3 linked regions of the Xenopus tropicalis genome follow. The protein of the gene in region 2 interacts with the protein of the main gene of each other region in a pairwise test. Links are inferred from orthologs where the notes say so. Each region holds a gene or a part of one and is shown on either strand. Other genes may lie near its edges.

Evidence for each region. The genes of interacting proteins can lie anywhere in the genome.
Region 1: the proteins of hras (region 2) and rgl2 interact in binary tests that used the Homo sapiens proteins (3 or more experiments, as listed by UniProt). The link is inferred for Xenopus tropicalis from reciprocal best matches to the Homo sapiens genes HRAS and RGL2.
Region 3: the proteins of hras (region 2) and retinal rod rhodopsin-sensitive cGMP 3',5'-cyclic phosphodiesterase subunit delta interact in a two-hybrid assay, tested with the Homo sapiens proteins (2 studies listed by BioGRID). The link is inferred for Xenopus tropicalis from reciprocal best matches to the Homo sapiens genes HRAS and PDE6D.

The regions. Positions count from the first base shown.
Region 1 is NC_030684.2:72,120,023-72,123,677, reverse strand, and holds part of rgl2 (ral guanine nucleotide dissociation stimulator-like 2), read left to right. Parts: intron 1-316; coding exon 317-535; intron 536-1,057; coding exon 1,058-1,161; intron 1,162-2,031; coding exon 2,032-2,116; intron 2,117-2,233; coding exon 2,234-2,299; intron 2,300-2,393; coding exon 2,394-2,471; intron 2,472-3,234; coding exon 3,235-3,267; intron 3,268-3,655. UniProt on the Homo sapiens protein: Probable guanine nucleotide exchange factor. Putative effector of Ras and/or Rap. Associates with the GTP-bound form of Rap 1A and H-Ras in vitro.
Region 2 is NC_030680.2:34,323,618-34,327,823, forward strand, and holds the start of hras (GTPase HRas), read right to left. Parts: upstream 2,890-4,206; 5' UTR 2,778-2,889; intron 1-2,777. UniProt on the Homo sapiens protein: Involved in the activation of Ras protein signal transduction. Ras proteins bind GDP/GTP and possess intrinsic GTPase activity.
Region 3 is NC_030681.2:101,155,207-101,158,432, forward strand, and holds part of retinal rod rhodopsin-sensitive cGMP 3',5'-cyclic phosphodiesterase subunit delta, read right to left. Parts: intron 2,547-3,226; coding exon 2,441-2,546; intron 1-2,440. UniProt on the Homo sapiens protein: Promotes the release of prenylated target proteins from cellular membranes. Modulates the activity of prenylated or palmitoylated Ras family members by regulating their subcellular location.

The DNA.
Region 1 (3,655 bases), on a different chromosome or scaffold from region 2:
AGCATTTGCTTCCCTTTAACTGTAATACCTAGGTGTGTTTGGGTGTGTGTGTCCATAAATAATATCTCTGAATATACACACATACAGTATTACCTAGGTGTCTGTGGGTGTATACTTTATAATGGACAAAGAAGCAGCAATAAAATTCATTTAAATACATTGGGATAAAATGCTGTCCATTATGAATAATTTTAAGCACCCAGGCACATTATATGTATTTTTTTGTAATGTGTGCCTCTTGACCCACAATTGTCCACTCTCTATTGCACCTTGTTGCGTGCTTCACTATTTGTATTTCCTCTTCTCCTCCTGGCAGTCTCTCTTCTTACGTGTGGTCCCATATGAATGTCTGGGCTCAGTGTGGTCTCGAAGGGACAAGGTTGGAAGTCCCTGGAACCGATGCCAGTCAGTCAGAGAGACTGTTCAGCACTTTAATCGTCTTTCTGGGGCAGTGACTTCTGCGTGTGTTCGAGACCCCCAACTAAAACCGCAACAAAGAGCTCGAATCATAGAAAAGTGGGTGAGAGTGGCAGAGGTGAGAAAGAAATGGCTTGCAGATTGGTCTTACTTTTTGGCTCTCTTAAACCAGCTATTATCTTTATATTGTGCAATAATTGATAAGGTTTGGGAGGTGAAATACATGTACATGAAAAATTGTTAGCTATCTTCTGAGTTTTGTCTATTTTAGGTGTTATTTTTACAGAACTTGAAAATGCAAATCGAGGCAAATACATTTTTAGCACTGTATGTCCATTTTAGAAACCGTATGGGATTAGCAAAGTATGACATTAGTATTAGGTTGTCCTTTTGTTTCAGCAATTCAGAATGCAGGAATGAGGTATTTTATGGTAATTATAGTGTATTTCAAGAGCCTTTAACAAAAAAACATTTTTTAAAACTATATTTTAATATTTTACCCAGTTTGAATTTATGTCTTGCCTACACACTTGCTATCTATTGCCTAAATATTTATTTTTCTATAAAGTCTTCTGGTAATATAACCCATCTCCTTTTCTCCTATGACATTTTTCTCAATGGCTTCTGTGTGTTTTTGTAGGAGTGCCGGTCCCTCAGGAATTTCTCTTCTGTATATGCCATTATCACTGCATTGCAAAGCACTGCTGTACACAGACTGAAGAAAGTATGGGCAGAAACATCCAGGTAAACAGATATCTGCCTCCATTAGCACGTTATTTACAGGAAGAGTTTATTTTGTGTGTAGGCACAACCAGCTAAAGGAAGACATGATTGTAAAACTCTATCAAGGCTGTTCTTAAATTCTGGGTTCCATTTCACTCCATTGCCCTCTACTTTGCAGTTTGCTCGCAATTCATCAGAGCAGGCTGAACTGGCACATTGGTTCTTGCCACAAGGCATTAAGGACTGTTAATATATTTATATTATATTTTTGCTTAATGAAACCACTAACATGTAGTTTGCATCACTTCCTGTACAATTTTTCAATATATGAAATTAGTTACTCTAAGTATGAAAATGTAGTGAAGTAAACAAAAATAAGGTGATGTTTACCAGTGTTTTTCTTTTGTTGTAAATCTCTGTTTTATTAAGTTTTCAGGTATCTTAAAAAAAAGGGTACAGATGTAAAAGAAGGATAGGGACAGGGAAGAAAGCAATTATAAAGATACAGTTCCAGCTCCGCAAAAAAGTGCATTTGATGTCAACCAATGTTATGTCTAGAAGTATCAGCTGGGTTTTTCTTAGCTAATAGTGGTGTAGAGGCCCATCTGCTACTAGTGAGCATTGGTTACTGGCAAAGAGAGGCACCACTGTTCTTTGCCAATAGGCAGCAGAGGTCAAAATGGCAATGTGGTGTAGGTCTAAGTGAGTAAATCCTGGGCTGAATACACACCACTGAAAAAACATTCCTAAATTGTCATTATAAAGCTACATCAGCCAGTGTAATACTTAAAGGTGGGTAAGAAAAGCAGTGTCATGTATATTAATTGTGCTAAAACAGGCTAAGAAATGGTAGGATGATACTCACAGAATCATGTTCATAATGTTGCATAGGGAAATTCTACGCAGTTACCAGGAAATGAGGGAGGTTTTCTGTGAAAAAGATAATTATGCCCGAATGAGAGAGCTGCTTTTTCAGGTGAGAATCAATTATTCTCTTTGATTTGGACTATAATATTCATAGTCATTGTAGCCAAACCTATAATAATATGACATATATCTATAGTCTATTTTGTGTTTTTAATCCATATTGTAGCCTCATGACCAACCTGAAATAACCTCCAAGAGACAACAGCCTCGCACTAGGGAATCCAGAGCAGTGGTACATTTTTTTCCCCTCTTTCTCTCTTTCCTTTTATATCTCATTATCTTATTGTCCAGCATCAGTTCAACTTCAAACATTTCCTTTCCTACAGCAGGGGGTAGTTCCATACCTTGGAGTGTTCCTCACTGACCTGGTCATGTTGGATTCAGCCATAAGGGACCAGCTAGAGGTAAGAATCAGTGCTTTTCTGTGACCAGTTCTAGATTAGCTAGCAGCTTTTGCTAAAGTAAAAAAAAAGTAACACTGGTAAAGGTCTTATTGAAGGGGAATGCCACCCATTTTATTTACATAGTAATAGCATGGTTGCTCTCTGAACATCAGTTTGGGTATGTAATCATAATAATTTCAATAAAAATATTTTTTACTTCCGTACAAATAAATATAAAATCATCAGGTAATTCTTTTTGTGGTGCTGTATTGATATAAAACACTGATTGCTCAGTTATCTATACAATGTACTCAATTCAGAACTAGCAATAGCTTGCCATGCATCATTGTATTTGTTTATATAATTTATAATCTGTGGCTTTCAAAATGATTTACCAGGCAGCAATATCCCATGCAGGCTTACTGATTCAGTAATGCTTATGGAATACTAAAAAGAAAGGGCACAAACAATTATTGCTGCTTTTAGTGTTGTGTAATCACATTATAAACATAAGTTCACTGATGCAATTATTAGAGATGATATTCTGTTGTATGCTGGGCTTATAGGTCTGAGGCTAAGCTTTTTACTTACAGATACTTTGGCCACTGACTGTGGGCTGACATAACCCCTCTCGTTTTTCTTTTCATGCATATAGTGCAAGGGCATAGTTTTGATCTCTCCACTTGTCTTAATAAGGAGTAAGGTGTTTTCTTGCCTCTGGCTTTAAACATGACATTATTTGCCAATAAACATATTCTGATGCACAATACTGTTTTCCTTTTAGAATGGTTACCTGAACTTTGAAAAAAGAAGAAAGGTGAATTCCTAGATTCCTACAGTATTATGCCTCTATTAACTTTACATTCTGTGACTTTATCAACTGTATACTCTCTCGCTTGCTCTCTCTTTACTACTATAATATTATTATAATTTCCTTCACACAGGCCCGGATTTGTGGCGAGACAAATGCCCAGGCCTAGGGCGGCACAATCTTAGGGGCGGCATGCCACCCTCCCGCAGCGCAATATTTAAATTTTGCTCCCATATGAAGCAATGCTGGGGGTGGGGGGTGGGTAGGGGGCGCAGAATGGGGTTGGCACCTTCGCAAAGAAGACGACTCCCTTTATAATATAGCTTTTCTGTAATTTAAAACATTCCTATACTGCTAAATAGCTACTGAATTTCATTATATTCTTTACACATTT
Region 2 (4,206 bases):
AAAAGCAAACATCTCATTGGTTGCTATGAGTTACTGCTCCTGGGCAAACTTAGTGCCTTTTATTACATATGAGGGTTTAAGTGGTACTTAAGCTTGAAGTCAATCTAGAAAATCATTATGTACACATACATATAAAGCGCCAACATATGCAATAGTGTTGTACAACAGAAGGATATACATGTTAAGCATACAAAAACTGAATGATGCATTAGGTATAAAGAGGGTCCTGCTCAACAGTGAAGTATTCTGATATGGAAACCAACAGCCATTGGCTAAAATAAGAAATGAACTGGTACAGTTATGGTATCCGGGTGGGTTTTCTACTCTGCGCCGGGCCCTTCCAAAGATTGTGGGATTGGGGATGGGGGGGGGGGCGATTGTGAATCAGTGCAGTTGCCATTTGTTTGTGTAGCCACATGGTACAATATCCAACCAATCAGCAAAGAGTATAATAAAAAATAATCAGCCCATGAGCGGGCAGTAGAGGGATAGTTCACCTTTAAATTAACTTTGAATATTACCCTGTAAATTATACTAAGAAAGAAAATTTGCAGTTGGTCCTCATTTTTTATGTTTTTTTTATAATTTCACTTTACATTCAGCAGATCTCACCCCACCATCACCTTGTTCCACTTAAATCACTGAAGTGATGGATTTCTGGGACTTGACGTCCCTCTGCTTTCAAGAGAATCTGTGAACCACCCACTATCTGTGAAACTCCCACTATGATAAGCAGAGGGATTTTAAGGGAAGTGTTTCATTACACTGTGAGCCTAAAGGGAGTGGTGTAGGAAACAGTTCATACAAGTAATATGGCACACAAGTAATATCCAAATCCTGCTGAAAAAAAAAAAAAAAAAAACTAGGGGGCAGATGTATCATAATGTGAATTTAGCTTAATACATAAAGTCTAACCAGAAAGTGCTTTTTTTGAATAATGAAAGAGAATATGCAGTAACACATCTTTCCAATACACATTAAACATGTTCAATTGTTTGTAAATTTAAAAAGCAGCATCTGACTGGCTGTTTACATTCACTGCAATTCTGGTTCTGACTCCTGAAACAATGTAGCAGAAGTTAGTCTGGAAATTACTGGCTAAATAGCAGATACATTCACATATAACTTAAAAACCACAGACAATCTTCCTACCTGTAGCCACAATATTTCTGATTTTTTTACCATATGACTGGTGACTCTCAGGTGTGGAAGTTTCTCTGGGGCTGGGCCTGCTTGCTGCCTCTTACTCTTTTCTCTGAATCCCCATGCAGCTGCTGGCCTTGGGTCCCGCCCAGTGCACTAATATTGGTAATATTGGAAATATCCCAGTTTGCTTTTCTATTGCTCTACGCTGTGGCTCTGCAATGTACCGGGAGGCACAGCAATGAATCAGCAGCCAACAGGTAGGTACATGACATCACACAGCAAGAGATGCGGCAGCAGAAACCTTAGAGAACTGCTCTGTTATTGACATAAGACCCTCCCCCATAGCAATATGAACAAAACACTGGAAAGCCTAGAGAGACCTCAAAAAGCAAATTCTCCTTAATTGCATTATCGTCATCCCATCAATATTTCAGCCTGTGACATATCGTTCCAGCATAGGCTCCTTGGTAGCATCAATAGAGCTCAGAGGAGGTTTGTTACAGGCAAGTAGCCAGGGTCAGCCAAGGACAATGAGAGAGCAACATCCCATACCCAACAGGGCTGTGCTGTGTTGCAGGGGTCTGGGGGGGTCCCTTCAGTAATTGGTGAAGCTGAATGTTATTGTGATTCTTATATGTTATTGCTTATTTTTCTTTTCAGGTCCTCTCCTAATCCATGTTGGCTTCAAAACTGGTTGCTAGGGTGATTAATGCCTAGAAACCAGATAGCAGTCAAGAGCTGCAGAAAATAATGTAAATGATTCAAAAACCACAAAAAAAAAAAATAAAAATGAAGATCAATGGCAAATTGTCTTAGAATTCTGCTTTCGACATCATTCTAATATGTAATTGATTCCCATGTTCTCCCTGAGATGAGTGCATTGGTCAAAATTCCTCTTTTACCACAGTCCTGACAGTGATTATCTTGGTGCAAGAGCTCACAATCAGATTTCCTTTTATTAATAGAACAAGGAATGTACCAGTCATAATAGCCTTCCCATCATTTCAATTCCTGCCCATATAACGGCAGACTGGGCAAAGTATGGCAATAGGCACCAGCCTAAATTCCAATGTTAATGTCCTATCCTGGGCTGGCACTACTAAACATCCACTGTATTAGGGCATGACAGAGATGGCACGGAATTAGCCCTGGGACCCCAGATTTAAAAAATCCCCTTGGAGGAAAAATGTTGCTTTAGCACATACCTCAGAGATGTTCAACCTAAACCTATTGGGAGGGTGCTGGCACCCAGCTGTAGTTCAACAACAGGGTCACAGCTTGGTAAGCCCAGAATCACATCAATCAATAACATCATCAACTCATTACTCCGCAGGGGGCGGCAGAACCATACTAACAAGTGGGTTGATTTACAAGACTGCAGCTGGGAAGGGAAAAGGGCTAGCACCACAGTTATTTGCCCCAATTAAAGTTCCCATAAATAGTGTTGGCAACTTTCCTTCTCTAATACAGCAAACAGCATAGCAAAACTGAAACAAAAACCCAGCTTCAACTATTACAATATCCCACCCCCGTTTGTATATATAAGAATAAATAGGAAAATCATTTCTGCAGCCCCTGCAACAGGAAACCAAAGACCCAATCAGGAACGCCCAGCGATCGCAGCTACTTACCGCAGGACTGTAGCAGGTGATCCCCCCCACATTAAAGTCAGCTGCTCTCCCTCGCATAGAACATAATACCTAGATCAAGCATTAGGGCAAAAGGCGCAATTTTTGCGAAGAGCAACAGATCTTTCAGCAGGCAATGTGTGGCGCTGCCCGGTGCCGCTATGTGAGCTGAGCACATACAAGCAGAGCAGCAGGGAGCAGATGAATGGGCGGCTTGGGCGTTGCTCTCTATGCAGCTGCTGCATTCACCGCTCAGGAACAATGTGGGCAGCCCACGCCCAGAGAGCTACTAAAAACCACGCCCCCAATGCAGTCAATCAAGAGTGCCTTCAAGTTGTGATTGGCCGAGGAGGAAGGACTTAGGCGGGAAGGGCATCCCTTGGGTTTGTTATTAGTTGGAGTCGGGGAAGGGGACCCATAGGGAAACGGATTCATTCATTTAGTACATTTACAAGTTTTGCGTTTTTATGTGGTGTTTGCGCTAGCGTTGCGTTACAAAGGTTTGTTTATGACTGCTGGACTCCTAAGAATAATGCGCTTATAGAATTGTTAATGTCTACCCATGTGCTGCTCTGTATCTCACAGGGGTAACTTGCCCACTTGGGCGCATTTTACTACCCGGTGCCGATGTATGCCTTTACAGCGTCTGGCGCGCAGTTTTGCAATTATGCTCTGAATTGTGGGAAGGAATTTTGCATTTTTTTTTTTTTTTAAAGTGTGCTGATTTTTGCATTCTGCAATCGGCGTTAATAAATGAGCTCCAGAGTGTTGGCTTTTGCCTGTGTAATATCATGTAAAGTAGTGTAACTTTACTGCTGGCCTGCAATAGCTTGTTTGGGCCATTCCATTAGCTCAGTGCTGTCCAACTGGCGGCCCACGACCCCCATCTGTGTGGCCCCCCACCTGTCTGGCTGCTTTGATGGCTTACCTTTGTGTAAGATTTAAATGGTATCAGTACTGTGATTAACTGGCCCCCCTGCATGGTTCTCACCTCAGATTCAGGCTGTAATCCCCCTGTATTGTTTAAACATGTAATCCCCTGTGTTGTTCACACCTTTTAATCTCTGCATTGTTCAACCCCTGCAGTGTTCACACCTCAGGCTCAGACTGTAGTCACTCCCATTGTTCACTTCTTCACACCTCAGACATGGTACTGTAGGCAGAGTATGGCACATACAGCCAGCATAGGGCAAGGAGGGTATGGCACACACAGGCAGCATAGGGCAGGGAGGGTATGGCACACACAGGAAGGGTAGGGCAGGCAGAGTATGGCACACACAGGCAGCATAGGGAAGGCAGAGTATGGCACATACAGCCAGCATAGGTCAGGGAGGGTATGGCACACACAGGAAGGGTAGGGCAGGCAGAGTATGGCACACACAGGCAGCATAGGGAAGGCAGAGTATGGCACACACAGGCAGCATAGGTCAGG
Region 3 (3,226 bases), on a different chromosome or scaffold from region 2:
ACCTGTATAAAAGACACCTGTCCACAGAATCAATCAATCAAGCAGACTCCAAACTCTCCAACATGGGAAAGACCAAAGAGCTGTCCAAGGATGTCAGAGACAAAATTGTAGACCTGCACAAGACTGGAATGGGCTACAAAACCATTAGCAAGAAGCTGGGAGAGAAGGTGACAACTGTTGGTGCGATTGTTCGAAAATGGAAGGAGCACAAAATGACCATCAATCGACCTCGCTCTGGGGCTCCACGCAAGATCTCACCTCGTGGGGTGTCAATGATTCTGAGAAAGGTGAAAAAGCATCCTAGAACTACACGGGAGGAGTTAGTTAATGACCTCAAATTAGCAGGGACCACAGTCACCAAGAAAACCATTGGAAACACATTACACCGCAATGGATTAAAATCCTGCAGGGCTCGCAAGGTCCCCCTGCTCAAGAAGGCACATGTGCAGGCCCATCTGAAGTTTGCCAATGAACACCTGAATGATTCTGTGAGTGACTGGGAGAAGGTGCTGTGGTCTGATGAGACCAAAATAGAGCTCTTTGGCATTAACTCAACTCGCTGTGTTTGGAGGAAGAAAAATGCTGCCTATGACCCCCAAAACAACGTCCCCACCGTCAAGCATGGGGGTGGAAACATTTTGCTTTGGGGGTGTTTTTCTGCTAAGGGCACAGGACAACTTATTCGCATTAACGGGAAAATGGACGGAGCCATGTATCGTGAAATCCTGAACGACAACCTCCTTCCCTCTGCCAGGAAACTGAAAATGGGTCGTGGATGGGTGTTCCAGCACGACAATGACCCAAAACATACAGCAAAGGCAACAAAGGAGTGGCTCAAGAAGAAGCACATTAAGGTCATGGAGTGGCCTAGTCAGTCTCCGGACCTTAATCCAATAGAAAACCTATGGAGGGAGCTCAAGCTCAGAGTTGCACAGAGACAGCCTCGAAACCTTTGGGATTTAGAGATGATCTGCAAAGAGGAGTGGACCAACATTCCTCCTAAAATGTGCGCAAACTTGGTCATCAATTACAAGAAACGTTTGACCTCTGTGCTTGCAAACAAGGGTTTTTCCACTAAGTATTAAGTCTTTTTTTGTTAGAGGGGGGTTCAAAAACTTATTTCACTCAATGAAATGCAAATCAGTTGCTATCTTTTATTTAAAGTTATTTTTTCGATTTTCCTTTTGATGTGCTATCTGCCACTGTTAAAATAAACCTACCATTGAAATGATACTGTTCTGAGACTTTTCATTTCTTTGTCATTGGACAAACTTACAAAATCAGTGAGGGGTCAAATAATTATTTCCTCCACTGTATAATCTCCTTTGTATAAAAAAAAAAAAACCACGAGGTATGCATTGCCCTTGCCCATAAATTCTGTATGTAAAAGACGAAATGTGCACTATTACATGACGCCATTCTGACGAACAGGAAATTGCACAGAAATGAGACGTATGTTAGTGTAAATAGCAGCGATAATCCATTTTCTTGCAAATTTTACAGCCATGAATAATTTCACTTTTTTTTTTTTTCAATGCATGGTTTGTGACAACAGGACAATGTAAATTGTAGGTTTTTTTGTATTTTACTTTTTTTTTTTTTAACAGAATTTGTGATTATGATTCTGCATTGAGGCCCTTTTAGAAAGAACTAAATGTATGTGTCAAAACAAAGAGACAAATGGGCCCTAATTATAAACTATGTACGAAAATGGTGAAGAGATAACATCACAAGTTGTAACAGAATGCCATGTAAAATAATGCAGAGCAATAGAGCTTAGTAATAAATTTGGGCATATGTGAAGTAGAGTGTAAAAATTGGGCATAAAAAAGAAAAAAAAAAGATTTTAAAGGTTTTTCTAAATAACAAAAAACCCCAGCACTAAACACCACCACTTTTTATACCAGTTAATTATTTACTTAATTGGCAAATAAGAGTTTATTGGATGCCAGGTCAGAGGAAGTGTAAAATAATGGCACAGTCATGGAAAATATACACCTTAAGGCTAATTGCCAGACGAGTCGTAGAGCGGTTATTTTCGGCAAGCAGAAAAGCGCTTGCTGAAAATTCCGCCCTACACCTCCTACTTGTGCCTGCACTGGAATGAATGAGATATGCTCGGGTGCAGGCACATGTAGCCAATATACGCATAAAAACGCGAGAGAATGCAAAGTCTCGCGTTTTTATGCGTGTATCGGCTACATGTACCTGCACCTGAGCGGATTCCATTCATTCGGGTGCAGGCACAAGTAGGAGGCGTAGGGCGGAATTTTCAGCAAACGCTTTTTCAAAAATATCCGCCTACGACTCATCTGGCATTAGGCCTTAGCCCTGTTTTGATCACTGGTTATTATTTAGCTCTTGGGAATAAATAAATAAAATGATTTTACACAGGTCAGATTTTGGTAAACCCAGATGTAAAATTTCTAAAGGAACTTACGTTAAAACATTTGCTGGCATCATCTGAGATTCAGGCGCAGCCTCTATTAGGGACTGCCAGGTGTTCATGGAATTGGGTATCACAAAACCAAACTCAAAGAACCACTCTGTAGAGTAAAGAAAGCTAAGTTTAAGTAGCTGTATCAAAGTAAGGATGCCCTGCAGTTTTTAAACCAATAACTATTATAATTGTACTTTTCAAAGCAGGATACAAAATTTTCTGAAATGTTCAGAGCTTTCTGCTTAATAAAACAAAAGGCCATGCCTTCTGAGATGCCATGTTTTGTGTGCTGCATAAAGCAGCAGAAGAACTCCTGTGTATCACTCTCTTACAGCCATAACTCTTAGCCAGGGGTCGCCAAACTTTTTAATCCATGAGTCACATTCAAATACAAAATCATGTAAAAGTTTCCTGGGGGCACCCAGGAAATTGGTAGCCTACAGGAGGCTCTATTTGGAAATGTTTTTTATGCAACTAAAGCTTGACTTTATGCCAGGAATTCAAAAATAAGGACCTGCTTTGAGGCCCCTGGGAGCAACATCTAAAAGGGTCGGTGAGCAATATGTTGCTCAAGAGGCACTGGTTGGGGACACACTGTTTTAAGCAGGTCCAGATGATTCACCATAAGTTAATGTATAATATTGTATTGTATAAAAATTTAAAAAAAAAAAGTTAGAATCCAGTCCCAACAACTACATTTTGACATTTCCTTTGATTTTTGCATTGGCAGTTGAGACCCTTGCTCAGCTTATAAGACATGACCTACATATTTCAGGAGCTGGGAGA